2 linked regions of the Elephas maximus indicus genome follow. Each later gene encodes a partner of the first gene's protein in a complex. Links are inferred from orthologs where the notes say so. Each region holds a gene or a part of one and is shown in the gene's direction. Other genes may lie near its edges.

Region 1 (15,911 bases):
AAAATTAGCTAAAAATTGGACTACATTGTATGAGTGAGCTCACAGGAAATTAAAGGTAATCCTTAGAAGCTCAAAAAGAAGAAAGAGTTGAAACAAGAGTGGTAAGCAAGGGCTGAAGACATGCCTACTTCTGGGGTCATTTCCTGATAGGAGGTATATAGTCCTAGAATTTAATGGCCTCCCAGAATGTAGGAGATGAGTCTTGTTCAGTGTGGGAACTAAGATATTTCCATAAAACTGGAAGCCTCAAAAAACTGCACCAGAATAAGGAGATGAGGAACCCTATATGTTGCCTGGGGGAAAGTATCTCCCCTCAGAATTCATAGTATAGCCTCTCTTACATGGGACTTAGGTTCAAATCTATACTAACCTGATAAATTGGACATGGTGTATAAGAAAAGGAGAAAAGGCAAAGATTACTCCAAGGTGTTTGGCTGGGGCAACTAGAAAAATGGAGTTGCCATTAACTGAGATGGAAAAAGCTTCAAGAGAGGGTTTATCTGAGGGGGTGCACAATAAGGAGTTTGGTGTTAGAAAAGTTAGGTTTCAGATGCCTATTAGACATCTAAGGAGTGATGTCTAGTAGACAGATATATGAGTCTGAACTTTAAATGAGAAGAATGAGCTGGAGAGAAACACGTGGGAGTAGTCTGCATAACAACAGAACTACAGAGACTGACGAGATCACCAAGGGACTAAGTGTAGATAGAAGCAAGGTCCAAGAAATTACTCTGGGACACTACAATATCAAGAGATCAAGTTGATAAGGAAAAACTAGCAAGGAAAACCAAGAAAGAGGGACACCAGGAAAATGGGCAATCACCCGTTACAAAATATGGTAAGAGAGGAGACGGAGCTAACACGGTGCTATAAACGGAAGCAACATACTGTCCCTCTGCGGCAAAGACCCAAAAAATTAAGTAAAACAGATACAAATGTCAATCCTAGAACCCTAAGCACCAGAAGGAACATTAAAGAACTTGATCAAGTACCGAATGGAATAAGAAACTGACAGACAACAAAGAACGAGGAGAGCTACGGAGTGGAGGTCCCCTATCACCTAACGGAGCCGGATTCACAATCTTGGGCTACAGCCACCAAAGAATTCAGACAGGGAGTACAGGAACGCAATTTCATAGAGCTCTCAGCAGGAGACAGAGTACCTGGTAACCAGGAATACACATTTTCCTACCCACCCCCCCCCACCCTTCTTCCCTCTACGCAGTCTCCACCGCTTTTCAACGGGCCACGGTTGCTAGGCTGGAGAGACACCAGCTCACTACCACTCCCACCAGCTGGCCCCTTCAGCACCATTTTTTTGCTTGTTTGTTTTTGGTTTGTATTTTTGTTTGTTTATTAATATTGTTTTTTGCTGTTGTTACTGCTTCTCTCTCTCCCTTCCTTCTTTCCTTTCTCTCATTCATCCAGCCCCATGCACCTCCCCCAACTTCATGGTGGACTGTGCTGTACCACTCAGCTGAGGAGCACCTGGCACACAGCCTCCCTGGGTCTGCACCACCCCCACAGGCCGTCTCTCTCAGTGCCACACTTTTTATTTTTCTTTATCTTTCCCCTTCTCCTTTTCCTTCTCCCTCTCACCAAAGCCCTACACTACCTCCACCCCTTACTGATGGGCCATGCCCATGTGATCTGGTGAGAGAGACATTAGCTTGCCAACACCTTAATCCTGCCTCACCCCCACCAGCCAGCTCCCCTGCCACTGTATTATTTTGTTGTTGTTGTTGTTTATTTATTTTTGTTTGATTGTTGGATGCTTCTCTCTCTTTCCCCTCTTTCCTTTCTCCCACCCACACACCCCATACATCACCCATGCCCCTTCTAGACAGGCAAGCCACACCGCTCAGCTAGAGACCACCAACACACAGCCTTGCTGGGTCTACCCGCCCCCCCCGACCACAGAATCCTACCATGCCACCATTTAATTTACTTTATTTATATTTTTATTTCATTTTTTTCTTTCTTTTGCTTTCTCTCTCTACTTTCTCTTCTTTCACCCACCCACTTAGCTCTTCACATCATAACCTCTCCTTTCCCTCCTTTCACCCACCCACTTAGCTCTTCACATCATAACCTCTCCTTTCCCTCCTGCCTATCTGCCCTGTGCACCAAGTATCAAACTGCTGAGCAGTACTCACGCGGTACCCTGGGCCCTTCCCTGCACCACCCGAAGCCTCGCCCTATCACCCTCCGTTCATGCTGCAAACTACCCATCTCCACCCCTCCTCCCCTGCTGGACCCACCCTGCTGCACCATAGCTGAGTGATTGGCCCTGCCCACCTGGACAAGGTGGTGAGAAGTATTGTGCCCACAGGTGAGCAAGCAGCAAAACACACCCAGCCCACCTCCCCAGATATAACTAAATAAAACAAAACAGCAGTACAAAACAATCAATAAATGAAGAAAATAATTCCTGAATTTTCTGGAGATAGCAGGAGATATCAAAACATTAAAAAAAGGAAAAGAAAAAAAAAAAAAAAACAGGGGAGGATGCCTCCAGAAAGCGACCAAAATAAAACACCAGACAACCTTCTGCTAGAAGTAAAGTCACTAGAACTACCTGATAGGGAATTCAAAACTCCAATATTCATGGTTTTCCAACATATGAAGGAAAATGCAGACAAAAATAAGGGGAAAAAAATGAATAAAATCATGGGAAATATAGACAGTCATGGAAAAGACAAACAAAACAATTGAAGATTCAGGAAAATAATATAGGAATAAAATGTCAAAATAAATTAAAACTAGAAATCACACAAAAACAGCAATTAGAAATCCGAAAGATAAACAACAAGATTTCAGAAATGGACAGTGCAGCCAAAGGTTTTAGGAACAAATTTGAAACAATGAAGACCAAACCAAACCCAAGCCCGTTGCTGTCAAGTCGATTCTGACACATAGCGACCTTATAGGACAGAGTAGAGCTGTCCCATAGAGTTTCCAAGGAGGACCTGGTGGATTCGAACTGCCAACTTTTTGGTTAGCAGCTATAGCTCTTAATCACTGCACCACCAGGGTTTCCACAATGAAGACAGGGTCATTGAAGTTGAAGACAAATCCTAGGATACCATTTTGTTTGAGGAAAAATCAGGGAAAAGAACGAAGAAAAATGAAGAAACCCTGAGAATGATGTGGGAAACAATAAAAGCAAAAATTTGCATATGATCCGGGTTCCAGAACAGGGAGAGAAAACAGAATACACAGAGAGGATCATTGAAGATTTGTGGACAGAAAACTTCCCTAATATCATGAAAGATGAAAAGCTGATCATCTAAGAAGCTCAATGAACCCTGTATGGGATACACCCTAAAAGAAAAACACCAAGACATATCGTAATCACACTTGCTAAAACCAAAGACAAAGGAAGAATCCTGAGAGCAGCTCGAGAAAAACTAAAAGTTATATACAAAAGGGAAACAGTAAGACTAAACACTGATTACAAGGCAGAAACCATGCCAGCAAGGCAATAGGATGACATATAAAAAATCTTGAGAGAAAAAAACTGCCAACCGAGAATAATATATACTGCAAAACTCTCACTCAAATATGATGGCAAAATTAGGACATTTCCAGATAAACAGAAATTAAGGAAATATGTAAAAAACCAAACCAAACTTATAATAATTATTAAAGGGAGTCCATTGGTTAGAGAACAAACATCAGACAACAGCCTGAATCTGACACGTAAGACAGCATCGGACATATTCCAACCTAGATAATGAACTCTAAAAAATTTATAACTGAAACCAGAGAGATTCATGTGTAGATAACAACAATGTCAGAACAATAAAAGGGGGAATAAATGGTGTAGGTATCAAATGGAGAGGAACTCAAGGCATTATCAAGTAATAAAAGACTGGTTTAAACTTGGGAAGATAAGGGTAAATTTCAAAGTAACCACAAAGAAAGTTAACAGACCTATTCATCAAAATAAAGAAGAAAAACAAAATCTCAGTAAACACAAAATCGATAAAAATGAAAGAAACAAACAAAAAAATCCACAAAAAAAGGAATTCAGGACAGAAGAGTAAGAGGAAAAAAGAAAACGTCATCACCACAAAAAAGCACTACAAAATGACAGCAATAAATGTACACCTATCAATAATCACACTGAACATAAGAGACTTAAATGCACCCATGAAGAGACCGAGAGTGACAGAATGGATTAAAAAAACAGGATCCATCAATATGTTACCCACAAGAGACACACCTTAGGAACAAAGACATAAATATATTAAAAATCAAAGGAGTGAAAAAATATATCAAGCAAACAGCAACCAAAAAAGAGCAAGAGTGGCAATACTAATCTTAGATAAAACAGACTTGAAATCAAAATCCACCATAAAAGACAAGGAAGAACATTATACAATGATTAAAGGGACAATCCATCATAAAGGCATAACTACAATAAATACCTATGCACCCAAGGACAGGGCTCCAAAATATATAAAACAGACTAACAGTACTGAAAAGAGAAACTGACAGTTCTCTGATAGCAGGAGACTTCAACACACCACTCTTGGTAAAGGACAGAAAATCTAGAAAGAAACTCAACAAAGATTCAAAAGATCTAAAAGCCACAATCAACCCTCTTGACCTCAGAGACATATATAGAACACGCCACCCAACAGCAGCAAAGTACGCATTCTTTTCCAATGCACATGGAACGTTCTCCTGAACAAATCATGCCTTAGGCCACAAAACAACCTTCAACAAAATCCAAAATACTGAGATAATACAAAGCATCCTCTTTGATCACAACACCTAAAAGTAGAAATTAATAACAAAAAGAAAAATGGAAAAAAAAATAAATGGAAATTGAATAACACCTTGCTTAAAAACCACTAGGTAATAGAAGAAACCAAAGATGGAATAAAAGATTCCTAAAATGAAAGCATATTGTACCAAAACATCTGGGACACAGTAAAATCAGTGCTCAGAGGTCTATTTATAGCAATAGATGCACACATCACCTGATCTTCGACTGAGGCCCAAAGGCCAGCAAATGGGGAAAAGAGAGTCTTTTTAACAAATAGTTCTGGCAAAACTGGATGTCCATCTGCAAAAAAATCAAACAGGACCCATACCTCATACCACACACAAGACTAACTCAAAATGGATCAAAGGCCTAAATATAAAACCAAATACTATAAAGATCATACAAAAAAAATAGGATCAATGCTAGAGGCCCTAATATATGGCATTAACTGGATATAAGCCATAACTAAAAGTACACAAACACCAGAAGATAAGCTAGATAACTAGAATCTTCTAAAAATCAAACACTTATGCTCATCCAGAGACTTCACCAAAAGAGTAAAAACAGAACATACAGACTGGGAAAAAAATTTTGGCTATGACAAATCTGACAAAGGTCTAACCTCTAAAAAATCTACAGGAAAATCCAACACCTCTACAACAAAAAGGCAAATAATCCAATTAAAAAATGGGCAAAGGAAATGAACAGACACTTCACCGAAGAAGATATTCAAGCAGCTAACAGATACAGGAGGAAATGCTTGGGAAAAAAGAAATTTACCAAAAAAGTCAACTGAGATTCATTTTGGGTAGTGTAACGGAGTATTCTTTCTTTTTTTTCTATTGTTCTATATCTTTCAAATTCTCTATCATATGCATATTCCTACTTTTATTTTTTCTGTTTACTATGAAAAATTTCAAACACATAAAGAAAACTAATATTAAAAGATCAGATACCCATCAGCTATCTTCAACAAGAAATCAAAATTTAGACATACATGTGTCATCTTTCCCCTAATAATTTTTTTCCTGTAGTATTTTAAAGCAAATCTCAGGCATCTTGACACTTTATGCTAAGTGCTTTAAAAAAGTCATATTCTTATATAACCACAATATCACTATTTCATGGAGCCCCGGGGGTTTAACAGTTAAGCATTTGGCTGCTGGTGGTTCGAACCCACCCAGCAGCTCTGAGGGGGAAAGCTTTTGCTAATCTGCTTCTGTAAAGGTTATAGCCTCGGAAACCCTATGAGGTGGTTCTACTCCATCACAGTGTTGCTATGTGTCCAAATCGACTCAACAGCATCCAACAACAACCACTTTTACCTAACAAAGTTAACAAATAGTCCTTAACATTATTCAATACCTTTGTTGTTGCTGTTAGTTGCAAACCAGTCAATTCTGACTCATGGCAACCTCATGTGTACAGAAACTATTTCATAGAGATTTCAAGGCTGTGACTTTTCAGAAGCAGATTGCCAGGCCTGTCTTCTGAGGCACCTCTAGGTGGGCTTGAACTGCCAGCCTTTCTAGTAATCTAGCGCTTAACTGTTTGTGACAGATTCTCCATTATCACTTCTTAATTGCCTGCCTCTCCTAGGATGGTCGAGCGACCTAAGTCTTGCACTCTGGGTTTACAACACAAAAGCAGTATATCTGCTTTCTTCGGTGTGATTGGGACTGATTATAATATGCTTACTATATCCCAACTGGAACAGTAAGCAACATCATAATAAACATCATGAATATTCAATTACACTACAAAATGAAGTTGTCAAGGATTTCATTTTACTTGCATCCACAATCAATACCCATGGAAGCAGCAGTCAAGAGATAAAACTACGTATTGCATTGGGCAAATCTGCTGCAAAGGGCCTCTTTTCAATCTTGAAAAGCAAAGATGTCCTTTGAGGACTAAAGTGCCTCTGACCCAAACCATGGTGTTTTCAATGACCTCATATGCATGAGAAAACTGGAGAATGAATAAGAGGACCAAAGAAGAATTGATGCCTTTGAACTATGGTGTTGGTGAGGAATGTTAAATATACCACGAACTGCGAGAAGAACGAACAAATCTGTTTTGGAAGAAGTATACCCAGAATGCTCCTTAGACTTCATCTCACATACTTTTGACATGTTATCAGGAGGGACGAATCCCTGGAGAAGGACATCATGTTTAGTAAAGCAAAGGGTCAGCAAAAAAGAGGAAGACCCTCAATGAGAGGATTGACATAGTAGCTGCAACAACAGGCTCAAACATACTTACTATTGTGAGGATGGTACAGGACTGAGCAGTGCTTCGTTCTGTTATACATGGAGTGGCCATGAGTTGGAACCAGCTCGTTGGCACCTAACAGCAACAACATATTCCAACTGTTACTGGATAACTGGATATATCTCACTTAAACTAAACATCTTTTCCCCCAAACTTGCTCTTCTTCCTGACTTTCCATTCTTAATTGATTAATCATTCTTCATCTAGTTACTGGAGCCAGAATCCCAGGTGCTTTTAAGTCATTTGTTTTTCATTTTAAAATAATTTTAAACTTACAGAAAAATTGAAAGAATACTATAAAAACTTTGTTCAAATTCCTTTGCCCAAATTTCCCAATTGTTAGCATACTACATTTGCTCTATTAGTCTTTCTGTCTAGATATATTGTTGTTGCTGTTAGCTTCCATTAAGTCAGCCTTCTGACTCACGGTGACCATAAGTACGCAGTAGAACTGTTCAATAGGGTTTTCTTTCTTAATTGCAAACTTTACAAAAGCAGTTCACCTGGCCTTTCTTCTGTGAAGACATTGGCTGAGTTCGAATCGCTGACCTTTAGGCTAGTAGCCGATTGCAAACTGCTTATGCCACCCAGACTCTTTATCTATATTCATTATTTATATTTGTTATCTTTATATATACATTTATTTCTGAATCATTTTGGATTAAGTTGCAGACATGATGCTTCATTACCTTTAAATTCTTCAGTGTGTTTTTTATAAAAACAAAGCTGTCTCCTACATTACCAGAGTACAGTCATTAAAACTAGGAAATTAATATTGTTAAAATACTATCACGTAATCCACAGATTTCATTTCAATTTTGTCATTTGTTCCAATAATGTATTTTACAGCCAAATAATTCAATTCAGAGTCATGTGTTCCATTTAGTTGTCACGTCTCTTTAGTCTCCTTCGATCTGAAAAAGTTCTTTACTCACTCCTTATCTTTCATGACCTTGACACATTTGAAGAATACAGGTTTGTGATTGTCTCTCAATTTGAATTTGACTAATGTTTCCTCATGATTAGACTCAGGTTATGCCTTTTTGGCAGAAATACCACAGAAATGTGTTTGAAGTGACTCTTACCAAGTGTCACAAGATGTAAATTCACCCCATTACTGTTAACTCTGATTACCAGTGCCGGATTTCTTCAAGTTTCTATTTTTTTTCCTTTGTAATTCATAAGTATTTTGTGCAGAGATAATGTGAGACTATGCAAATAATTTGTTCCTCTTAAAACTCTCACCCACTAGTTTTAGCATCCATTGATGATTCTTGCCTTAATCATTTTTTACTGTAATGGTTGTGTCATGGGTTGAATTATGTCCCCCCAAAAATGTGTGTTTATCAGTTGGGCTGGACCATGATTCCTGGTGTTGTGTGATTTTCCTGTATGTTGTAAATCCTGCCTCTATGATGTTAATTGAGGGAGTACGGGCAGCAGTTGTCTTAGTGAGGCAAGACTCAACCTCCAGTATTGGATCGTGTCTAGAAGCATTCTCTTGAGACTTAAAAGATACAGCAAGCACAGAGACAAAAAAGATAGAGCAAACACAAAGACAGGGGGACCTCATCCCACCAAGAAAGCAGCACCATGTGCAGAGCGTGTCCTTTGGACACTGCATCCCTGCGCCTGAGAAGCTCCTCAACCATGGGAAGATTGAGGACAAGGACCTTCCTCCAGGGCCAACAGAGAGAAAAAAACCTTCCCCCCTGGAGCCAATGCCCTGAATTTGGACTTTTAACCCACTAAACTGTGAGAAAATAAAATTCTCTTTGTTAAAGCCATCCACTAGTGGTATTTCTGTTATAGCAACACTAGATAACTAACACAGGTTGCCCAGTGATTTTTGTACCTGCATCACTTCCTCCTTCATTTATTAGTGGCATTCTAGTATAAGGAAGAGCTTTATCTCCCATTTTTAAAAGCTCATTTATTTTTATCAGTATGCATTCAAGAGCTGGGGTCACTGGATGGCAGCTAACAGCAGCACCAAGTATCTGCCTAGATCACTGGTTGGATAGTGGTGCCATAAACCAAGATGAAATCCAGACAGGGAGGTTTTGGGTGGAAAGTTGAAGACTTCAGTTTGGGACACATTGGGCTGATAATATTTCTCACTGCTTATTTCACAGGATTTAAAGAAACGAATGAGATATATTTTGTGTAGAATGGACTGTAAAGTGGAATGGAAAGCCAATGGCAATGTAGTCTGGCCTCCACAGAAAGATGGATAACGCTTTCACTGTACAAACGAAGCAACAGGTTACCACGTCTGACTACCACTGCAGAAAATGGCCTCTAATTCAAGAACGGAGGAGTTTTAACTTGTCTAGTATTTTTCCACCCTTGCTGACTCAGAGGTAAAGATGGCGCCTGCGGCACAAGTAAGTGGGCGGGGTTATTACGTGAGATAAAAAATGACGCTTTAATTTTTGTTTTGTTTTAAAAACAGTGAGAGCTCACCGCTAGACGAGTAGTGATTAATTTTTTCTCTAAGATTTTGTCTGTAGTACAACTATTCTCCACGTTTTAGGCATTTTTTTTTTTTTGTGGGCGCGAACGCGTGGGAGATGAGGCGCCTGCTTCTTGCTTCATTCACGTTTCTTTTCCTTGGCGGCATCCACGATAGCCTCCCCGCCTCACTTTTCCCCCTTCTGTTTCTCCCAGCGTTTGTTGCAGTTCTGAGGCGCAAAGCCCCTGTTCCGGGGCGAGGGTGGAAACGCGCTCAGGCTCTGACGAGCACCGCGTATACCCGTTTCTCATCCTGCTCCCAGCTTAGAGGAGCCCCGCGCACCCCCCGGAGCGCGTGCCCGTCAGCCCGCCAGCCGCAGGCCAGCGGACGCGCGCGCGTTGCCTCCGCAGGCGGCGTACTGCGGCACCTCGCGGGCCGCTGCGTAGGCGGTGCGGGGGCGGGGCCGTGGACGGGGCGCGGAAGAGAGACTGCGGTCCAGATAGAGAGCACTGGCTGCATCGGTTGTCATGGGAACGGCGGCGTAGGCTAGCGCTGACGTCAGCGGCGGGAGGAGGGTGCACTGCCCACACTGCGGCATCTGGCTCGCTTGCAGATCCTGGGTCGCTGGCGGCTGGGCCATTGCGTAGCAGCCCAGCTCCCGGCCCACCTCGCCTGGCGCCGGGAGCCGCTTCCCACCGCCCGGGCTCGGCTCTGGCGGGACAGGCGGTCAGCAGCTCTGCGCCCTCCGCTTTGTGAGTACGTGGCTGGCGGGCTGGTGGTGGGAGCCCAGGGCTGGGGACTCGTCCTGCCCGGGCCCTCTCGACTGCGTGGACTGATGTGGTCTGAGCGCGGGGGCGGAGTGCCGGCTTGGCCGGGCTGGGGCCGCACTGCGCCACTGCCAGGCGTCCGGGAGGGGAGGGATGTGATTTTTGAGAAACACCTCTACGCACTTTTCCGCTCCCTTCCGTGGAAGACTCTCTTCGTGACTTGTTAGCGTGGTGTCCTAAGAGGGAACGCATTTCTTGCTTTTACTGCTCCCGGTTCAAGCTTAAACGCTTTAAAATCAGATGCGTATGTTTATTTCCTTTTATAGTGTCAACCTGGTGCTGAATCTTGAGCCTGTGAAATGCCTTCTTAAATACATCTGAAAAACGGTGGTGAATGTTATATTTGTTTAAAAAATAAAAGGTGTAATAGGGTCATTTCAGTATACATAAAAATAGAAAAAGAGTTGATAATTTAGGAATCCCTACCAAATGGTTGGGCCTTATTTCAGCATTGCTGTGAAATCATCTACAGACTGGCGTATATGCTTTTACTTTTTTTGAGAAAGACATGGCAACAGTTATTTCACCTGTTGCATTAATGGTTGTTGTTATTGCTTAGGTTTTCAGGAAAAAAAGATTGCTTGTTATGAGGACCCTGGGAAATTTTTAAAAGAATATTTGAAAAATTCAAATACCAAAAGAGTTTTTTAAAACCACATTCAGAATATTGTTTATGAAGACTTGTTGATTTGCAGGAGAAAAATGTGGCAGGCTGCTTCCATAAAGATTACCCAGAGGAACCCAGTGCTGTCAAGTCGATTCTGACTCATAGTGACCCTACAGGACAGAGTAGAACTGCCCCATAGAGTTTCCAATGGGCTCCTGGTGGATTCGAACTGCCGACCCTTTGGTTAGCAGCCATAGCACTTAACCACTATACCACCAGGGTTTCCATGAAGATTATGGCCAAGAAAACCCTGTGGGGCACTTGTACTGCCCTATGGGGTCTCTATGAGTTGGAATCAACTCCATGGTAAAGGGTTTGTTGATGATTTATTAATTGAATTATTTATATGGGAATTTTGTTTGTTCCTTGCTATTAAAGTTGATTAAGGAGTGAATCATCCAAGCCTCTCTGCTTTTTTTCCCCTTGATCTTTAGTCACTTACTGATTGACAGTTGAAAATCAGGAGATCAGGGAAAATTAAAATGAGCTGAAACAATCCAGTTATGTTTCTTACTTAGTATCTCTAATCATTTTATGTGAAAAAGGTATCTGAGGAAGAAGTTTTAAAATAATGGCATGTATACCAAAACCACCCAAACCCAGTGCCATCGAGTCGATTTCGACTCATAGCGACCCTATAGGACACAGTAGAACTGCCCCATAGAGTTTCCTAGGAGCACCTGGTGGATTCGAACTGCCGAACCTTTGGTTAGCAGCTGTAGCACTTAACCACTACGCCACCAGGGTTTCAAACCCACTACTGTTGAGTCAGTTCCCACTTCGCTGTAAGTGGGAATTGACTCAACAGTAGTGGGTTTGATTTGGTTTGGGTTATGAGGTTCAGGGATCTCTTTTTTAATCTGATCTTAACTTCTGATCTTAAGTCAGATAATGTCGCTGTCCATTAAATAGTAGTCACTAATTCTGTAATGTTTTTTTCTGTAGTACACAGTAACATTGAAAAATGATTAGGTCAGTTATGTATCTGCTATATTATTACATAATATTTTTTAAAAAGCTGGTTGCTCAACTGGACTGGACCAAAAGCAAAGAAGTTTCCGGAATAAACTGAATGCTTCGAAGGTCAGCGGAGCAAGGGCAGGGGTTTGGGAACTATGGCTTAAGAGGACTTCTAAGTCAATTGGCAAAATAAATTCTATTAAGAAAACATTCTGCATCCCACTTTGAAGTGTGGTGTCCGGAGTCTTAAATGCTAACAAGCAGCCATCTAAGATGCATCAATTGGTCTCAACCCACCTGGATCAAAGGAGAATGAAGAACACCAAGGTCACACGATAACTATGAGCCCAAGAGACAGAAAGGGCCACATGAACCAGAGACTTACATCATCCTGAGACCAGAAGAACTAGATGGTGCCCGGCCACAACCGATGACTGCCCTGACAGGGAGCACAACAGAGAACCCCTGAGGGAGGAGAACAGTGGGATGCAGACCCCAAATTCTCATAAAAAGACCAGACTTAATGGTCTGACTGAGACTAGAAGAATCCCGGCAGTCATGGTCCCCAAACCTTCTGTTGGCCCAGGACAGGAACCATTCCCGAAGACAACTCATCAGACATGGAAGGGACTGGGCAATGGGTTGGAGAGAGAAGCTGATGAAGAGTGAGCTACTTGTATCAGGTGGACCCTTGAGGCTGTGTTGGCATCTCCTGTCTGGAGGGGAGATGGGAGGGTAGAGAGGGTTAGAAACTGGCAAAACGGTCACAAAAGGAGAGACTGGAAGGAGGGAGCGGGCTGACTCATTAGGGGGAGAGTAAATGGGAGTATGGAGTAAGGTGTATATGTTTATATGTGACAGACTGACTTGATTTGTAAACTTTCACTTAAAGCACAATAAAAATTATTTAAAAAAAAAAAAAAAAAAGCCAGTTGTCCTTGAGTGGATTCCGACTCATGGTAACCCCTTGTGTGTCAGAGTAGAACTGCTTATAGGGTTTTCAATGGCTGTGACCTTTCAATAGTGGAAATAAATCTCTGGCCCTTTCTTCGGAAGTGCCTGTGGGTGAACTTCAACCTCCAGCCTTTTAATAAATACCCTAGTGCTTAATCATTTGCACTTCTAAAACCAAACCTGTCAATTCTAACTCATAGCGATCCTGTAGAACAGAGTAGAACTGCCCCATAGGGTTATCAAGGTGATAAATCTTTATGGAAGCAAACTGCCACATCTTCTGCCCACAGAGCAGCTGGAAGGTTTGACCTGATATCTAGGTTACCATCCAAGCATTAAACTGCTGTGCCACCAGGGCTTCTCCCTACACCACCCAGGGGCTCATAAATAATATTAAAAAAATTTGTTGCTGTTGACTCCATTCCAACTCATAGCAATCTTGTAGGACAGAGTAGAACTGCACCATGGGGTTTCCAAGCAACTGCTGGTAGTTTCGAACTGCCAACCTTGTTAGTAGCTGAGCTTTTAACCAGTGCGCCACCAGGGCACCTAAATAATATTCCCCAGTGCTGTTGAGTCAATTCCGACTCATAGCGACCCTATAGGATGGAGTAGAACTGTCCCCGTAGAGTTCCCAAGGAGCGCCTGGTGGATTCAAACTACCGACCATTTGGTTAGCAGCCGTAGCATAATAAATAATATTAGTGTTTATAAATTTCATTGCATATTGTATTATTAAAAAATGTTGTTAGGTGCTGTTGAGACAGTTCTGACTTACAGAGATCCTATGTGCAACAAAACTAAACACTGTCCATTTCTTGCAACATCATGCTATGTTTGAGCATATTGTCGCAGCCACTGTGTCAGTCCATCTCCTTGATGTTCTTCCGCTTTTTTGATGATTCTCTACCACGTGTTTCAGTTATCTAGTGCTGTTATAACAGAAATGCCACAAGTGGATGGCTTTAGCAGAGAGAAATTTATTCTCTCACAGTCTAGTAGGCTAAAAGTCCAAATTCAGGGCGTCACTTCCAGGGGAAGGCTTTCTCTCTCTCTCAGTTCTGGAGGAAAGTCTTCATCATCTGTCTTCGTCTGGTCCAAGAGCTTCGCAGTGCAGGGACCCTGGGTCGAAAGGACGCGTGCTCCTTGCTCTTCTTGCTTGGTGGTAATGAGGCCCCTTGTCTCTCTGCTTGCTTCTCTTTTATATCTCAAATGGGATTGACTTAAGGCACAACCTGGTCTTGTAGATTGAGTCCTGCCTCATTAACATAACTGCCTCCAATCCTGCCTCATATACATAGAGATAAGATTTACAACACACAGAAAATCACATCAGATGACAAAATGGTGGATAATCACACAGTACTGGGAATCATGGTCTAGCCAAGTTGACATACATTTTTGAAGGATACAATTCAGTCCATAATACCAAGCATGATGTCCTTCTCCAGAGACTGGTCTCTCCAGATAACATGTCCGGAGTACGTCAGACCAACTCACACCATCCTCCCTTCTAAACAGCATTCTGATTGTACTTCTTTCAAGACAAATTTGTTCCTTCTTCTGGCAGTCCGTGGTATAGTCAATATTCTTTGTCAGTGTCATAATTCAAATATATCACTTCTTCTTTGGTTTTCTTATTCATTGTCCAGCTTTTGCGTGCATATAAGGTAATTGAAAATACCATGGCTTGGGTCAGGTCCACCTTAGTCCTCAAGGTGACATCTTTGCTTTTTAACACTTTGAGGAGGTCTTTTGCAACAGATTTGCCCAGTGCAAACGTCCTTTGATTTCTTGACTGCTGCTTCCATGGGCGTTGATTGTGGATCCAAGTAAAATGAAATCCTCAGCAACTTTAGTCTTTTCTCCATTTAACACGGTGTTGCTTATTGATCCAGTTGTGAGGATTTTTGTTTTCTTTGTGTTGCGGTATAAACCATACTGAAGGCTGTGGTCTTTGATCTTCATCAGTAAGTGCTTCAAGTCCTCTTTCACTTTCAGCAAGCAAGGTTGTGTCATCTGCATGACACAGGTTGTTAATGAGTCTTCCACTAATCCTGATGCCGCGTTCTTCTTCGTATAGTCCAGCTTCTCGGATTATTTGCTCACATTCAGGCTGAATAAGTTTGGTGAAAGGATACAGCCCTGATGCAGATTTTCCTGACTTTAAGCCACACAGTATCCCCTTTTTCTGTTTGAGCAACTGCCTCTTGATCTGTGTAAAGGCTCCTCATGAGCACAATTAAATGTTCTGGAATTCCCATTCTTCGCAGTGTTAGCCATAATTTGTTATGATCCACACAGCCGAATGCCTTTGCGTAGTCAGTAAAACACAGGTAAATATCTTTCTGGTATTCTCTGCTTTCAGCCAGGGTCCATCTGACATCAGCAATGATTTCCCTTGTTCCACATCCTCTTCTGAATCTGGCTTGAATTTCTGGCAGTTCCCTGTTGATGTACTGCTACAACCGCTTGTGACTAATCTCCAGCAAAATTTTACTTGTGTATGATATTAATGATATTGTTCAATAATTTCTGCTTCCGGTTGGATGACTCTTCTTTGGAATGGGTGCAAATACGGATGTCTTCCAATCGTTTGGCCAGGTAACTGTCTTCCAATTTCTTGGCATAGACTAGTGAGCATTTCCAGTCTTGCATCCATTTGTTGAAACATCACACTTTGTATTTCTTCAGTTCCTGGAGCCTTATTTTTCACTGATGTCTTCAGTGCAACTTGGACTTCTTCCTTCAGTACCATTGGTTCTTGATCACATGCTGCCAATGAATGGTTGAATGTCGACCATTACTGTTTGGTACAGTGACTTAATTGTGCTCATTAGGAACCTGTATGTAGACCAAGAGGCAATGGTTAGAACAGAATAAGGGGATACTGCAGGTTTTAAGTCAGGAAAGGTGTGTGTCTTGGTTGTATCTTTTCACCATACTTATTCAGTCTGTATGCTGAGCAAATAATCCAAGAAGATGAACTATTTAAAG
Region 2 (15,953 bases), on another chromosome or scaffold:
AGCAAGAAAAGGAGGTGCATGGAAGTTGAATTTTATAGTCCCTCGATTTCTAAAAAAATGAAAACCCCTTCTTGGAGAGGAGACCCATAGGAGCCAATATCATGAGTCCTACTATTTAAAACACTCCTTTTGCCCCAAGTCTTGCCACATCACTGGAGAGATCTGGGCTAACCTGTTGGGACATGCTGTAGGGAAAATGAGGCTGCCCAAGACAAAAGCAATTAAAATTATCAGAAGCATAGTAAGTTTCTTGGGAAGAGGCATTTTAGATTTGGCTAGGACGTATAAGTAAACTGCTTCAGAGGCTGAGCTCCTGCATATTGCTGACCTATTTTATTCTCCTATTGACTCTGGCAATGTCAGCGTGGTAATACCGATGTGGTCTCTGTATGTCAGTGTGGTAATATCCATGTGGCCTCTGTATGTCAGTGTGGTAATACCCATGTGGTCTCTATGTGAGTATGGTAATACCCACATGGTCTCTATGTCTGTGTGGTAATACCCATGTGGTCTCTGTATGTCATTGTGGTAATACCCACGTGGCCTTTGTATGTCAGTGTGGTGATACCTACGTGGTCTCTATGTCAGTGTGATAATACCCACATGGTCTCTACGTCAGTGTGGTAATACCCATGTGGTCTCTGGTATGTCACTATGGTAATACTTATGTGGCCTCATCTGTTCTACCTGCTGACACACTGCCTGCAAGGAGACTGGGAAAGGCAAGGATCCTCCTGCTCTTGGTGCTCTGAGTAAACTGGCCTGGGTTCAGCAAAATCCAGACAGATCATTGCTCAGGTCATTTTTCTGTCATTACTATAGCCCAAATGTGGGAGTAGAGCAGGGAGTCTGTAGAACATGTAAGGATGCTACTTGAAGCATTGTTTGTGAAAATAAAAGCAAAAACAAAAACATAAATGTCTTATACCCATTGATGTTGGGTAGATTCCGACTCATACAGACCCTATAGGACAGAGTAGAACTGCCCTATAGGGTTTCCAAGGAGCAGCTGGTGGATTCAAACTGCCAACCATTTGGTTAGCAGCCGAGCTCTTAACCGTCCCGCCACGAGGGTCCTAAATGGTTTACGGTGTACCCATATTATGGTAGAACAATCTATTGCTATATTTGTAGCAGATGCTGTTCCTCACCCATGACTAGCATTTCAGTGTGTGCCAGCCTGACTTACAACTGCCAACAACTACATTTCCCTGTCCACATGTGTGTCAGGCCAGGACTGTTAGGAATTAAGACCTCTTGGGAGTAACCTTCACTCAATGGCTGAGAGGGGCTAGTGTATAAATACCATAGCTCGCTCACTGCTCGAGTGAAGCCTTTGAGGCCCATGTTCTCAGACTTGAGCCCGCATCAGAATCACCTGGAGGGCTTGCTAAAACACAGATTGCTGGGCTTCTGTCTCAGAGTTCTGATTTAGTAGGACTGGGGTTAAGCCGAAGAATTTGCAGTTTAATAGATAGAGGGCTGTTAAAGGTATAGTGAGCTTTGGTAGTTTGTATCTTTCAAGGAATTTGTTCATTTCATTTATTAGATTTATTGGCATAAAGTTGTTTATAGTATTTCAATATTATTCACTTAATGCCTCATAGCAGTTGTAATGATGTCCTCTCTCCCATTCGTAATACTAGTAATTTGGGACTTCTTTCTGTCTTGATCTATCAAAAAAAAAAAAAATTTTTTTTTTTCTTTATCTAGCTAGAGGTTTACCAATTTTATTGATTTTCTAAAGCAAGGGTTATCAAACTTTTTCTGTAAAGGCCAGATGATAAATAATTTAGCTTTTGTAAGCCACTGGCCTCTGGCAACTCTGTAGTCACACCATGAAGGCAGCCATAGACAGTATGTAAACAAATGAGATGGCTGTGTTTCAATAAAACTTAACCTACAGAAACAGACAGTGGGCTTGATTTGACCCATGGGCCATTTTTTGATTCATTGATTTTGTTGATACCGTAATTTATTTTATTATTTTAATTGTAGTCTTAGTGAGAATATATACCACAGAACACACACCATTTAATAATTCCTACATGTACAATTCAGTGACATTGATTACATTCTTCAAGTTGTACAACCATTCTTGCCCTCCTTTTCTGAGTTGTTCTTCCCCCATTAACATAAATTCTCTGCTATCTAATCGTTTGAGTTGCTGTGGTAAATTTGATTCCGTGTAAATAGACCTTGAAAAAGCATAATGCTCAAGGCAGACATTCTTTACTAGTTAAGCTAAACTACCGTTTTGTTTAAAGAAGACTTCAGGGGGTATTTTTGGTTTAAAGTTTAAAGATTATCTCAAGGCAGTAGTTTTGAGGGTTCATCCAGCCTAAATGGCTCCAGAAAGTCTGAATAGCATGAGAATTTGAAATTCTGTTCTGTATTTTTATCCAAAAAAAAAACCCAGTGCCGTCGAGTCGGATTTTTCTTTAACTTGACTTCATTTCTGTTTCCATTGGGGTGTGAAAATTTGGAGTCCTCCTGCCCCCATCCCAGTGAAAAGCAAGGGGTACTCAGTGTTTTCTGTTCACAAAGGTCTTTATAGAGCGCTCATAACCCAGCTATACCTCAGCCCCGGGGAGGGCTTCTGCCTTGTCAGCCTGTCCCTTCAGGGCTAGTAGCTTCTCTGATTTCTGCCTGACTGCTATGAAGCATAGAAGTCTTTCTGCCACTTCCTTGCTGTACAAGGACACAGGCATCACTGCCAAGCCTTCCATGGTCTTTTCACATCTGTTCCTACTGCAGGTCTTGCTGCTGCCTCCCCGGGAAATGGGATCAATCACTCCCCGGTCCCTCTTGTCTTAACCGCCTTCTCAGATCCATTAGCCCATCTTGGAAACAGGCTATGGGCCTCTCCAGCTGGGACCTTCTCCATGTCTCCTCTTATAACTTCATGTTCTTCTTTCCTCCTTCTCCTTGAAGTCCAATGAATCTTTGCATACTGTGTGCGCTGCTATTGCTGTTGTATGATGTCAAGTTGATTCTCACTCATAGTGACCCTACAGGGCAGAGTAGAACTGCCCCATAGCATTTCCTAGGCTGTAAATCTTACAGGAGCAGATCACCAGGTCTTTTCTCCCGTGGAGCCACTGGTGCATTCCAACTGCCAACCTTTTGGTTAGCATCTGAGCACTTAACCACTGCATCTCTATTTTCTGTTGGGTAGAGGCTCAGTTTTGTGGAGGCAGGTTGTTTTTTAAAAATTTTAAGTATACAATTTGGTGGGTTTTAATATAGTCACAAAATTGTGCAAATATTAAACCAAAAAAAAAAAAAAGGAAACCCATTGCCGTTGAGTCAATTCCAACTTATTGCTTACAAGATAGAGTAGAACTGCTCCATAGGGTTTCCAAGGCTGTAATCTTTAAAGAAGCAGACTGCTACATCTTTCTCCTATAGAGCAGCTGATGGGTTTGAACTGCCGACCTTTCAGTTAACAGCTAGACTGCTTAACCACTGCACCACCAGGGCTCCATGTACAACAATTATCATGATCTAATTCCAAAACATTTTTCTCACCTCAAAAAGAAACCTTGCCAAAAAAAAAAAAAAAAAGAAACTTTGTACCTATTAGCCGTCGCTCTTCATTTCCTCTCCCTCTCACTCCCTGGCAAGCACTTATCTATTTTCCGTCTCTGTGGATTTTACTAGTGTGAAATTTCATGTAAACGGAATCATACAATATGTGGCCTTTCACATCTGGCTTCTTTCACTTAGCATGTTTTCAAGGTTCTACCATGTTACATCATATATTAGTACTTTATTCTTTTCATGATGGAATAATATTCCATTGTATGGATATACCACATTTTGCTTAACCTTTCATCAGTTGATAGACAGTTGGGTTGTTTCTACTTTTTGGCTATTATGAATAATACTGCTATAAACTTTTGCATACGAGTTTTGTTTGGATTCATTAATCCATCACAGACCCAGGTTATGGGACTCTCCAGCAGGGACCTCCAGAATGTTTTTCAATTCTCTTAGGTAAATACCTGAAAGTGGAATTGCTGGGTAACTCTTTTTAACCTTTTGAGGAACTGCCAGACTGTTCTCCAAAGTGGCTTCACCATTTTACGTTCCCATCAGCAAAGCTCGAGGGTTCCAATTTCTCCACATTTTCACGAATATAGTTACTATCTGTCTTTTGATTATAACCATTCTAATGGATGCAAAATGGTATCTCATTGTGGTTTTGATTTGTATTTCTATGATGACTAATGATATTGAGCATATTTCTGTGTGCTTATGGGCCACTTGTATATCTTCTTTGGAGGAATGTCTATTCAAATCCTTTGCCATTATTTTTTTACTTTTACGATTATTGATATTTTTATTTGCCCTTTTATTGTTGATTTGTAAGAGCTCTTTATATATTCTAGATGTTACTGATGTTAGTTACTGTTGAGCTGATTCTGACTCATGGTGATCCTATGAGAGTAAAACTGCTCCATAGAGTTTTCAAGACTGCTATCCCGAAAGCAGATTGCCAGCCCTGTCTGGGTGGATTCAAACCGCCAACTTTTCAGCTAGTAATTAAGTACTTAACTGTTTGTGCCACCCAGGGACTCATAAGCTTGATTGTTGTTGTTGTTAGGTGCTATTGAGTCAATTTCAACTCATAGCGACCTCGTGTGACACAGTAGAACTGTCCCATAGGGTTTTCTAGGCTGTAATCTTTACGGGAGCAGATTGTCAGGTCTTTCTCCCACGGAAGAGCTGGATGGGTTCCAACCACCAACCACCATCTCTTTGTGGTTTTAATTTGCATTTCCTGATGATTAATTATGCTGAGTATCTTTTCATGTACTTATTTGACATTCATATGTCTTTGCAAAGTCTCTGTTCAGGTCTTTTGCCCATTTTCTAATTGGGTTGTTTGTTTTCTTACTGTTGAGTTTTCAGACTTCTTTTTATATTCTGGATACAAGTCTTGGACAGATATGTGATAAGGCAAGTATTTTCTTCCAGTGCAAATATTTTCTCCCACTGTGTGGCTTGTCTTTTCATTGTCTTAACAATGTCTTTTGCAGAGCAACTTTTTCAATTTTGATGAATTCCAATTTTTCTTGTTTTTCTTTTATGGATCCCGCTTTTGTTGTCATATCTAAAAATTCTTTGTCTGATCTAATTGCACAAAGATTTTCTCCTATGTTTTCCTCTAGATGTTTTATGCTTTACATTCAGGTACATTTCAAGTTATCTTTTGTATAAGGTGTGAAGTATGAGTTGAGTTTCATTTTTTTGCCTATGGACATTTAAGTCCATCATCCAGCATCATTTGTTGAAAAGGCTATACTTTATGCATTGAATTTCCCTTGCACCTTTGTCAAAACTTATTGACTCTATTTGTGTGGGTCTATTTCTTGACTCTCCAGTCTGTTTCATTGATTTATGTTTCTGTCTTTTCACCAATGCCATACTGTGTTCATTACTATAGCTTGATAGTAAGTTTCAGTTCAGGTTGTGTGAGCTCTCCAACTTCATTTTTCTTTTCAAAATTGTTTTGGCTATTCCAGCCCTTTTTCTTTCACTATATTCCCTAAACAATTTCTTTGAATTTCTCCTATTCAGGATTCATTGACATTCTTGAATCTGTAAATTTACGTCTTTTATCAAATTTGGTAGAATTTCAGCTATTATTTCCTCAAATATTTTTTCTGCCACACTCTTTCTCCTGTCCTTCTAGGAGTCCAATGTCACGAATGTTAAGACTTTTGATATTTTCTCACAGGTTTCTGAAACTCTTAATTTTTTTCAATCTTTTTTCTCTCTCTGCTCCTTAGATTGTATATTTTCTATTTACCTATCTTTGTGTTTACTGACTTTCCTGTGCCACCTCCACTGTGCTATTGAGCCCATCCAGTGAATTTTTATTTCAGTTATAAAATTCCATTTGTTTCTTTTCTTATAGTTTCTATTTCTCTGCTGAGAATTTCTTTCTATTTTTTTTCAAGAGTGTTTGTCCTTAGTGCCCACAGTAGAGCATGGCTATGATAGTTAAAACCCTTGTCTGATTAGTCTGATATCTGGGTCCTCTTGAAGCTGGCATATGCTGATTGCCTTTTCTCTTGAAAATTATTGAGATTTTACTTTTAGTAAATTTTGTATAATTATAGTGGTAGTCGGAAACCCTGGTGGCATAGCGGTTAAGTGCTATGGCTGCTAACCAAAAGGTTGGCAGTTTGAATCTACCAGGCACTCCTTGGAAACTCTATGGGGCAGTTCTACTCTGTCCTACAGGGTCGCTACGAGCCAGAATTGACTTGACGGCAATGGGTTTGGATAGTGGTAATCAGGCCATTCTTCACATCAGGGTAAAAACTCCTTCCAGCGATCTGATAAAAGTCATGAACTCTTTCCAAATAATGCCAGTAAACAAAGCCCCTGGTGGCACAGTGGTTAAGTGTTTGGCTGCTAACCAAAAGGTTGGCAGTTCAAATCCACCAGCAGCTCCTTGGAAACCCTAACAGGCAGTACTACTCTGTCCTATAAGGTCGCTATGAGTTGGAATCAACTCAACTGCAATGGATTTAGTAAACAAGGAGAAAACGTAAAAACTAAGTTTACCTGTATAAAAATAATACTAGTTATGATCACTCATACAAATAGCGTATATTTCCATACCCTGTGGTATAGTAGGAAACCCTGGTGGCATAGTGGTTAAGTGTTACGGCTGCTAACCAAAGGGTCAGCAGTTCAAATCCGCCAGGCGCTCCTTGGAAACTCTATGGGGTAGTTCTACTCTGTCCTATAGCATCGCTATGAGTTGGAATCAACTCGATGGCACTGGGTTTGGTTTTTGGTTTGGTGGTATAGTAAGGAGCCCTGGTGGTGAAGTGGTTAAGCACTTGGCTGCTAAATGAAAGGTTGGCAGTTTGAACTTACCAGCTGCTCTGCAGGGGAAAGATGTGGTAGTCTGCTTCTGTAAAGATTACAGCCTTAGAAACCCTACGGGACAGTTCTACTCTGCTCTACAGGGTGGCTGTGAATAGGAATTTACTTGATGGCAATGGGTTTTTTTGGCTTCGGTGGTACGGTAACTATTTTGCATATAATTGTGTCAGATTGACTTTGCTGTAAGTTTGTTTATAACACTAAACTGTTGATGCAGTTCTACCTTATCGTTTGTTATTGGGGTGATAAGTGTTATCCATTCACAACTTTAAAAGGAAAAATCAAAGTGACCTTTTTTTTTAGGAGCTAGTATTCTGTCTCCATGGTTTCATCTGTTGAAATAATTATTCCCAGGTTGGAAACCGTGTGCTCTTATGGAATGAACCAGTAGGTGAAAGGCTGTGAGGCACATGGATGGCGTTCAGGCCTCAGAATCCGGACAAACCTGAGCTAGAATCTCAGCTCCTTCACCATTCACTAGTAGTTCAATCTTAGCAAGCCTTCACGAACTTCACCTGTTAAGTGGGAATAACAATACCTACTTGAGGGGTTTCTAGGACACCTTGCATAGGAACAATGCAAACCAAGTGCCCAAGCTATATTAGACCCTCACCCCCTGCTGAGTTCATTCCACTCATGGCAATTGCATGTGTTTCAGAGTAGAACTTCACTCCATAGGGTTTTCAATGACTGTAATTTTAAGGAGCCCTGGTGGTGCAGTGGTTAGGCTGTTAACTAAAAGGTTTGAAGCCATCAGCCGCACCATCAGAGAAAGATGTGGCAATCTGCTTCCTTAAAGATTACAGCCTTGGAAACCCTATGGGCATTTCTAACTCTGTTCTATAGGGTTGCTATGAGTCGGAATCAAGTCGATGGCAATGAGTTTGGTTTGGCCGGTTTATTATTATGGTGAGTCCTTGATGTTACACAAGAGCAGAAATGCCACCCAGAGTTCCCAGTGGCATGAGGTTTCTGAGTTCTGGGGACAATTACTTATTCTGTTGGTGGAGTGGCAGATGTCAAACAGTGATAAATATTGACATCCCCAAGGTGCCAGGGAGCCAGACTTGAGGCCATGGTGTGCCCTGCCTCCTTTGCTAGGCCAATGAAGCATGACTCCTGAAGGACATTTTGTTGGCCTTTCAGGAGGCCAGTGCAGTTTCTAAAGTGACTTAACATTCACAGGGACAAACCAATTCAATAACATCTTTTCTTTCCTGACTATTAACTTCCTTGTTTTCTCTTTCTCTATCTCAGTGAATACTAACACAGCGACTAATAAGTCTCTTGGCACTTGTTTTTTCTTCCAAGAATATCTTTTCGTGTCTAAGTAAATGCCACCACCTGCCCTAGCTCTTTTGGGAAGAGGGGGTGCACTCTTTGAGTCACAGTAACCGATTTTCAGGTCACAGCTTTCGTGTGCTCCGTGGAAGGCAGTGCGGTACAGGGGAAAGAGTAGTGGCTGAGATCACCCGAGCCTCGTCTCCATGACCATTCTTCATCTATACGAAACGGGCATGCTGACCACAGGCGTTGCGTTGCTGCAGGCCGCGGCGGGAACAGTGAGTTGCGCACGCAGCGGCTCGGCGACCTTCGGGACTCAGCGTCTCGGTTGCCAGGGGAACTAGGGGCGGCGCGCTTTCCGGCGCAGTCGCGGCGCAGCACAGCCGTCATGGCGGAGGCCGTCTGGAGCTCTGACACCGGCGAGGCCGTGTACCGCTCCCGGGACCCCGTGCGCAACTTGCGCCTCCGGTAGTAGCACTGCCCCGGCACCTGGGCTCCGTGCTTTTATCCCCTCAGATAATTCGAGCCTGAACTCAATGTTCTGAGGCCCCCACTTCCGCTTACAATCCTCGCCACATCTTCATCTTCCCACATCTCATCGCACTACCTCAACCCTTCTCCACCCCGAGCCTTCCAGCACAGTTTCCAGACTCACGCAGTCCTCTTCAGTCTCTGTACTACCCAAATTCCTCGGAGCCCTGAGTCCTCAATACGCCCTCTTGTTTTCACCTTTCCCCTGAGAGCCTCGTGTCTCACTCACCTCCCTTCAGTCTTCTGCACCTAACACACCTTGGCAGCCCCACCCTGCTCAGTGTTTTGCTTTTTCCATACTTGCTCTGTGTTTATCTTCTAGTTGTGTGCCTTGTAACGCGTATTTTGGACGTCTCTTTTCCTGACAGAGTCCACCTGCAAAGAATTACATCAGGCAACTTTCTCCATTACCAGCCTGCCACCCAGCCCGGGAAGGACCTCATAGACTTGGCCACTTTTAGGCCCCAACCAACCGCCAGTGGGTGTTATGTGGTGATGCAGGCCCTCCTGGGGACCTGAGGGAAGGGCCTGGGGTGGTAGACTTACCTCTTACGACAGAGTAGACCCAGGTCTACTTTTTGACAGCAGCCTTTTTACAGATGAGGAAGCTAAGGCACAGAGAGGTTGGGTTTCTTGTGAAGGTCCTGCAGCTGGTTAATGTCAGAGCCAGTGTTTGAAGCCTGGCAATTTTAGGCACTACACTGTGATTCCTGCCATCAAGTTACTGATGTGAATTGTGGTCATCTGTAGTGAAATAACAAATAACCTTATTTTTGATATGTTATAGATTTGCCTGGCAGCCTAAATACCATTTGAAACAATTTTTTTTTCTAAAAGAAAATATGTCCTAACTCTAAACACATGCATAAACTATTTTAAAGTTGAGGACTTTAAAATAGTCCTCAACTTTACTGCTAGACAAATGTACATATTAACATCAACTGTGCTCTTGCGGTTTTTCTTGTCTGGGAAGCCAGAAGAGTGAGGACAGAGGAGAGTGCTTGTGTTAAGTCACTAGTCGCTGTGCTTTTGTTGTGCTTCTGTTGAGAAATATTCCTGAGCAAGAGCATGGGCTGGTGGGTTGTGAACTGTGTCTCTGAAAAAGACATACTCAGCCAGGAGTGGATTAGGTTTTGCTCTTTAAAAAAAAAATCATTTATTTGACTTTCTTCTTCCCGCCTCAGCCTCTTAAGGTTACAGAGTTTGTGTTTCTAAATACATCGCTTCAGGATTCTTTTCTAGCAAATGCAGGCTGTTGAGATTGAGGAAGGGCTGTTCAGCTTATATTTAAATTTCAGTCCCTGACACTGACTTAGATTTAATAATACTTGGAAGGCAGGACCACCTTTTATTCAAATTAGAGTAGTGGTTAAGATTTCTTGGGTTCTAATCCTGGTTTCTGCACATACTAACCAGAGCACATATTCAGCCTCACTAGTTTCTGTCAGAGTGAGTACTTAATAAATCACTGAACTCCAGCTGGATTTGTCGTAAATATAAGAGCAGAGGCTTTGGTTATAACCAACCACAGTGGCCTTGGTTTGGCTCAAGCAGTTGACTCACTCTGTTGTGTTTGAAGGTGGTCATCGCCCAGATGAAGATGAAGAGGAGGAGGTTGTGATCGGGTGGCAGGAGAAGCTCTTTAGCCAGGTGAGCCAGTGTCACGTGTCAGCTCAGTGTACTTCCATCTGGCCCATCTCCACCTGGCTGGCAACAGGGAAAGAGATCCCCATCTTTGAAAGAGAGGCTGCTGCCAACACGGCTCCCCAGGTCAGGGCTTTGCTGATAGACCCACATCACTAATTTTAAACAGTGTTTCAGTGAGATCTTTGTATTAAGCCTCATCTGATTCTCTGATTATTTTCTCAGATAAGATTCTTGGAAGTGGAATAACTGGATTAAAATATTACTTTGAAGATTATTGATACATACTGCCAAACTGATTTTGGGAAAGGTTGTAACAGTGTATACTGTCCCTTGTTGTGTTTATTGGGTCAAATTCTGACTGCCACTAAGTTTTATGATCTTGGGTACAGCACGTATCATCTCTGGGCCACATGCCATCTGTAGCAGAAGAGTTGCATTAGAATGTCACCCTGGTTCCTTTTTTTGAATCCCCTGCCGACCATTAGCTTAGGTTCTGAAAACATGTCAAATAGCATCAGTTCTATAGAAATAATTTGATTAAAAAGTTACAGGAACAAAAGTTTCAAGTATCCTCAGTAGATTTTTGTTTCCTTGTGGTGACCTCAGTTTGAGGTAGATCTGTACCAAAATGAAGCAGCCTGTCAGAGCCCTTTGGATCACCAGTACCGTCAAGAGATCCTGAAGCTGGAGGATTCAGGTGGCAGGAAGAACCGGCGAATCTTTACCTATACCGACTCCGATAGATACACCAACTTGGAGGAGGTATCGTTCATTCCGAGGTCCCATAGCTCCCTTCTTCCACTTTGCGTCCCCCAGCTTTCTGGCCTCAGTGGGTTCTGTGTGCTAAATCAGAAGCCTGTTAAGGGGAGACAGGTAGCCATCCTAGAGCTCCTGCATGCTGCTGGCAGCCACACTGGAGTAGAGAGGGCACAGTCTGCAGGTGGTGTGGCTGCTGCTGCCTTGTTTGCCTTCTGGAGGGCCAGGGAGCTAGCAGGGACCAGTGTCTTTAGTGATAGCCTTGTAGACTGCCAACTGAAGAAGCAGCCACTGGGCTTGAATTCCTGCTTGAATCATGAAATGAGCCAGGTGAGTGGAGTCTGGAACAACCTAGATAAAATGCATCAGGGTATTCAGCCAAATCTCTGACCATATGGGTTTGGAGAGGAATTCAGTACAGCCATGGGAGGGGCCTTAGGTCTCCAATGCACCTATGTTAACATACCCTTGTGGGTTTTTTTATATTTTCTCCAGTCACTGCATGATGTGTTCTGTCTTCTTAGGGAAAGTTTAAGCTGGTGGAGGGTAGAGCCTGCATTTTTTATTTTTCTCTATGACCTTGTAGATCTCTGCAAAGAGCAGGTGTTAAATGATTGCTTTTGAAAGATGGGCATGCTTTCATGTGTTGGTAGCATGTAGAATTTGAGTTGTTTGTGCTGGAAAAGCAGGTGAAAATGCAGTTAGTGCTCTATTAACCGTATGAGGATTTTCCACAAAATGCTTTTATCCCATCTGGCATCTTTAAACCACCTAGTTAAACTTTAACTAGGCAAACTCACCCAACTTTTTATTGGTATGTTCTCAGGGAATGTTAGGCTGATTTTAATATTAGCCTGTATAGACTCATTTCTGCAGGATAATATGCTACCAAAATCATAGGCCTAGGGGAATTTTCTTTGGGTTGTTTGGGCTACTGCTTCCCTCCGTTAGCATATATAATTTTGAGGTGGCTATACCTGTTTTTTGGTTTTTTTTTAGTTCAGTCACAGATGGGGCTTCAGAAGGAAGACTTCCCCTCTGGAAGTCTCTTGGTTCCATGTGGCCCTGATCAGATGGGTCACACAGGGCTGCTCTCTTTCCTTAGCACTGTCAGAAAATGACCACCGCAACCAACGAGGTACCATCTTTCTTGGTCGAGCGAATGGCAAATGTCAGGCGGCGGCGGCAGGACAGGCGAGGGATGTGAGTGCAAGTGTGTATGGGCGCTGGGGGATGGGGGTCTTTGTGGTCCTGCCATGCCAACATTCTCAGTACGTCCACTGTCTCGAGTCTCCCATTCTGGAACGGGCCTCCACCTGGAGTGTGATCTTCAGGGGCTGCTGGGCAAGTGACCCTTCGTGTGGTGTCTCCCAGGGAGGGCGGCATCCTCAAGTCACGCATCGTCACCTGGGAACCCTCAGAAGAGTTCGTCAGGAACAACCACGTTATTAACACCCCTCTTCAGACAATGTACATCATGGCAGACCTGGGGCCCTATGGAAAGTGAGTAAAGCTTCATACCACCTACTCAGGCCCTCATCCTCTTCTGCTCACACTGACCATCACCTTCCTGTTAGAGTCATCGCTGGGCACATGAGAGAGAAGGACTTTTTCTTCTTAGTTGTACTTGGCAGAAAGTTTTCTTACCACAGATCTCTGTCCTCCCCTGCTGATGGGAGCTGACTCCTTCTTGTTCTTTCCCTGGAACTGGGACTGGGGATCCTGAACTTTGATGTTGATTTCCTGGTTTCTAGGCTTGGCTATAAGAAGTATGAACAGGTCCTCTGTACTCTGAAGGTAGACAGCAATGGTGTGATCACAGTAAAACCTGACTTCACTGGCCTCAAAGGACCCTACAGGTGAGGAGAGGAAGAGTGGCCACTAGGAAAGGGTTAGTGGACACTGACATTCCTTCTCTTGGCTTCACTTCATGCTCCTAGTTGATAAGATCCTTCAAAAGCCCTTAATCTGTCCTAACTTTTAAATTCCCAGGCAGTGGTTCATATTCTGTTCTGGGTCATAGGCCCTTAAGAAGCTGGGGACCCTGCTCTCAGGAAATGTGCAGCTACACCAGTTTGAAAGTGACAACTTCAGCACATACTTAAGTGAAAATAATTCTCGTGGCTGCTGAATGTAGGGACTGACCAGAACAGGGTGAGATGAACTCAAACCAGGTCTCTTCCTCTAGGCTGACTTTTCCTCAACCCCATGCCTTAGAATAACAGGACTGTAAATAAGAAATCATCTAGACCAGCTTGCCCATTTTTCAAGTAAGAGAACTGGGTGCCAGGGATGTTGTACCTTTGGGTTTCACAGTGACTTTGGGGCAGAGATGGGTCCAGACCCCATACTCTGTGAGTCTAGTCCGATGCCCTTTCTGGGTTACCATTTTGCTTCCTTCTTCTAGTCATCATCAGAGCCATTTGCATCATCATATACTTCAAGTGAGCGTATGATCCATGATGACTCATCCCTGGGCTAGGTCTGGAGGACCCCATCTCCTGTGATCAGAGTTGGTCCTTTCATGGCTTTGACCTTACAGAATCGAGACAGAGGGGGAGAAGCAGGAGCTGTGGAAGTATACTATCGACAATGTGTCGTCGCTCGCACAGCCAGAAGAGGAGGAGCGGGAACAGCGTGTGTTCAAGGACGTAAGAGGTGGTTCTTTCCAAGGACCGAGGGAATGAGCTCATCTCTGGGAGCTGAGACCATGTCTGAGTTTGGTGCCAGAAGCTGCTAAGGAAAATCTTGCTCTTAACAGTCCTCTCCTGTCCTAGGAAGCATTGCTGACATATCAGGCAGCAGTTTTTGTTCATATTATGCCAAAATAATAGTTACCATTTATTGAGTATTTGTTAGACCTTAGTAACAACCCCGTGAGGCAGATACTATTATTATTACCAATTTAGGAATTCTCAGGAAACCGAGATTAAAAGCAAAGTAGTCTTCCCAAGATGACACAGCTTGCAAGTGCTGGAGCTGGAAGTTGGCCCCAAACCAACTGACTCCAGAGCCTCTGTCCTTCACTTTAAAATGCCAGTGGCCGAGATGCTTAAGTCTCCAGCTCTCTGTGGCATTTCCCATTGCTGCTACTTTTCTCTATCCCAAATAGAACTGAGCGCAGGGCTGGCTTGGTTCACATGTGGAGTTTTGGTTTGGTTTTTTTCCTCAGCTTTACGGCCGGCACAAGGAGTATCTCAGCAGCCTTGTGGGCACTGACTTTGAGATGGTGAGTCACTTGGCTTCCTGCAGTACTGTGAGCTGTGTGTAGCCAGCAAATTCTGACTGTGGATGAGTGATAGTGCCTCTCCTATAGGTCCTCAACATGTACTCTTCAGCATAAAAAGGAAGGCAAAGGATAGCATATATAAAACTTGTTATGTGTTTTAAAACGTTGCATGTTGGTAAAGAACTGTTAATACACAGAAAAAGATCGGAACATGCATGCATGCTAATGGGGACTTTTCTCTGGGGGTGATTGGTAGATGGGTGTTGAGTTGTGAGGGGGATGTGGAGAGTATTTTTACTTTTTATTCTCTGTACTTAGCTTTGAAATATCAGTGGCAATGTATTCATGTAGTTCTGTATAATTAATTTTAAAAATATAAAAGAAAAATATCTTCCTCATGGTTCAAGTGGACATTTTTCCTAAGTACCTCATAGAAAGGGAAGGGCTGTCATTGGTTTGTCAAATATTTTGGCTCTTAAAAAACAGAACAGTTTAGGTCAGTTATTCTGTGGTCCTGTTCTTTGTCTTCCTTCATTCCAGAGGTTCCATTTCTAGATCTGGAAACAAGGATGGAATTAGTCACTGGTCTCCCCTCTCTGTAAAAAAAATTAACTTTTATTATCTTTGTATTACATAAGCAAAAGATTTTCAGAGTTAAAAAGTTAGGTAAGACAGACAAATGAATAAAAGAAAAAACCCTGTTTTCTTGACCTCAGCCATCTAAAGGAAACAGGGGTCTTCAACTTTCTACTGTACTCCAAAAGGTAGCTGTTATTACTACGCTTGGCTATTATAAATTTCCCGTACTGTGTTGCCCTTCCTGCCATTTAAATGATGTACTTTTTCCCTACATTGTCAATTTTAGAAATGAAAGAAGCAAATTTGTGGAGAAGCGGAGGAAGCAGGGTGGGAAGGGAGTGCAGTAGTAACGAACCAGTCCAGTGTCAGGCCTTGGGCTTTGTGGAGGGGCTGGAGGAGACGTGCTGATTCCCCCGAGACCTCCTGATCTTTTCCCACTTCTCTCCACCTAGACTGTCCCAGGTGCGCTCCGGCTCTTTGTAAACGGAGAGGTCGGTAAGTGTCTTATCAGACTGAGATCTCTTGGCGCTCTGGCAAGTGCGCAGATGGAGCTCTGAAGTCACCTAGCCCACCCTGGTGGAGGCCGTGGGCTGTCTGCATTACATGGGAAGCTCAGAGATGATTCTTCCCTGGAAACAGGGAGGGTTCCTGGCCCTCGAGGGACTTGCTTCCAGGAGAGTGTAGGCTCCTCAGTACTGTGTTGGGTGCTCAGGGTGGTAGAGGAATAAGCTGAAATAGTTTCCTGTTCTCTTAGTTTCAGCCCAAGGCTATGAGTATGACAATCTGTACGTCCATTTCTTGGTGGAACTGCCAACTAGTAAGTAAAATTCATAAATCTCTATTTTTGTACCCATTCAGACAGTTTTCCAGAGATACCCGCTCAGGCGTGCTTCCTCACTCCCCCACTAAACCATTACCCTTTTCCAGGTCATGTATTACTTCCACGTTGCCAAACCCAGTGGTGCCTTCACCTCTCGGAAGCATTTGACGCAGCTGACTTTTCTTCTTAGAAACTCTT

What was found.
Region 2: AHI1 (region 1) and MKS1 share a complex: the UniProt entries of both Homo sapiens proteins name them as parts of the tectonic-like complex. The link is inferred for Elephas maximus indicus from reciprocal best matches to the Homo sapiens genes AHI1 and MKS1.

What each region holds. Positions count from the first base shown.
Region 1 is NC_064819.1:205,067,252-205,083,162, reverse strand, and holds the start of AHI1 (jouberin), read left to right. Parts: upstream 1-10,170; 5' UTR 10,171-10,258; exon of another isoform or gene 10,259-10,262; intron 10,263-15,911. UniProt on the Homo sapiens protein: Involved in vesicle trafficking and required for ciliogenesis, formation of primary non-motile cilium, and recruitment of RAB8A to the basal body of primary cilium.
Region 2 is NC_064837.1:35,804,964-35,820,916, forward strand, and holds the start of MKS1 (tectonic-like complex member MKS1), read left to right. Parts: upstream 1-8,252; 5' UTR 8,253-8,581; coding exon 8,582-8,661; intron 8,662-9,092; coding exon 9,093-9,202; intron 9,203-10,303; coding exon 10,304-10,374; intron 10,375-10,977; coding exon 10,978-11,133; intron 11,134-12,232; coding exon 12,233-12,330; intron 12,331-12,501; coding exon 12,502-12,630; intron 12,631-12,881; coding exon 12,882-12,986; intron 12,987-13,669; coding exon 13,670-13,778; intron 13,779-14,299; coding exon 14,300-14,356; intron 14,357-15,387; coding exon 15,388-15,430; intron 15,431-15,689; coding exon 15,690-15,752; intron 15,753-15,953. UniProt on the Homo sapiens protein: Component of the tectonic-like complex, a complex localized at the transition zone of primary cilia and acting as a barrier that prevents diffusion of transmembrane proteins between the cilia and plasma membranes.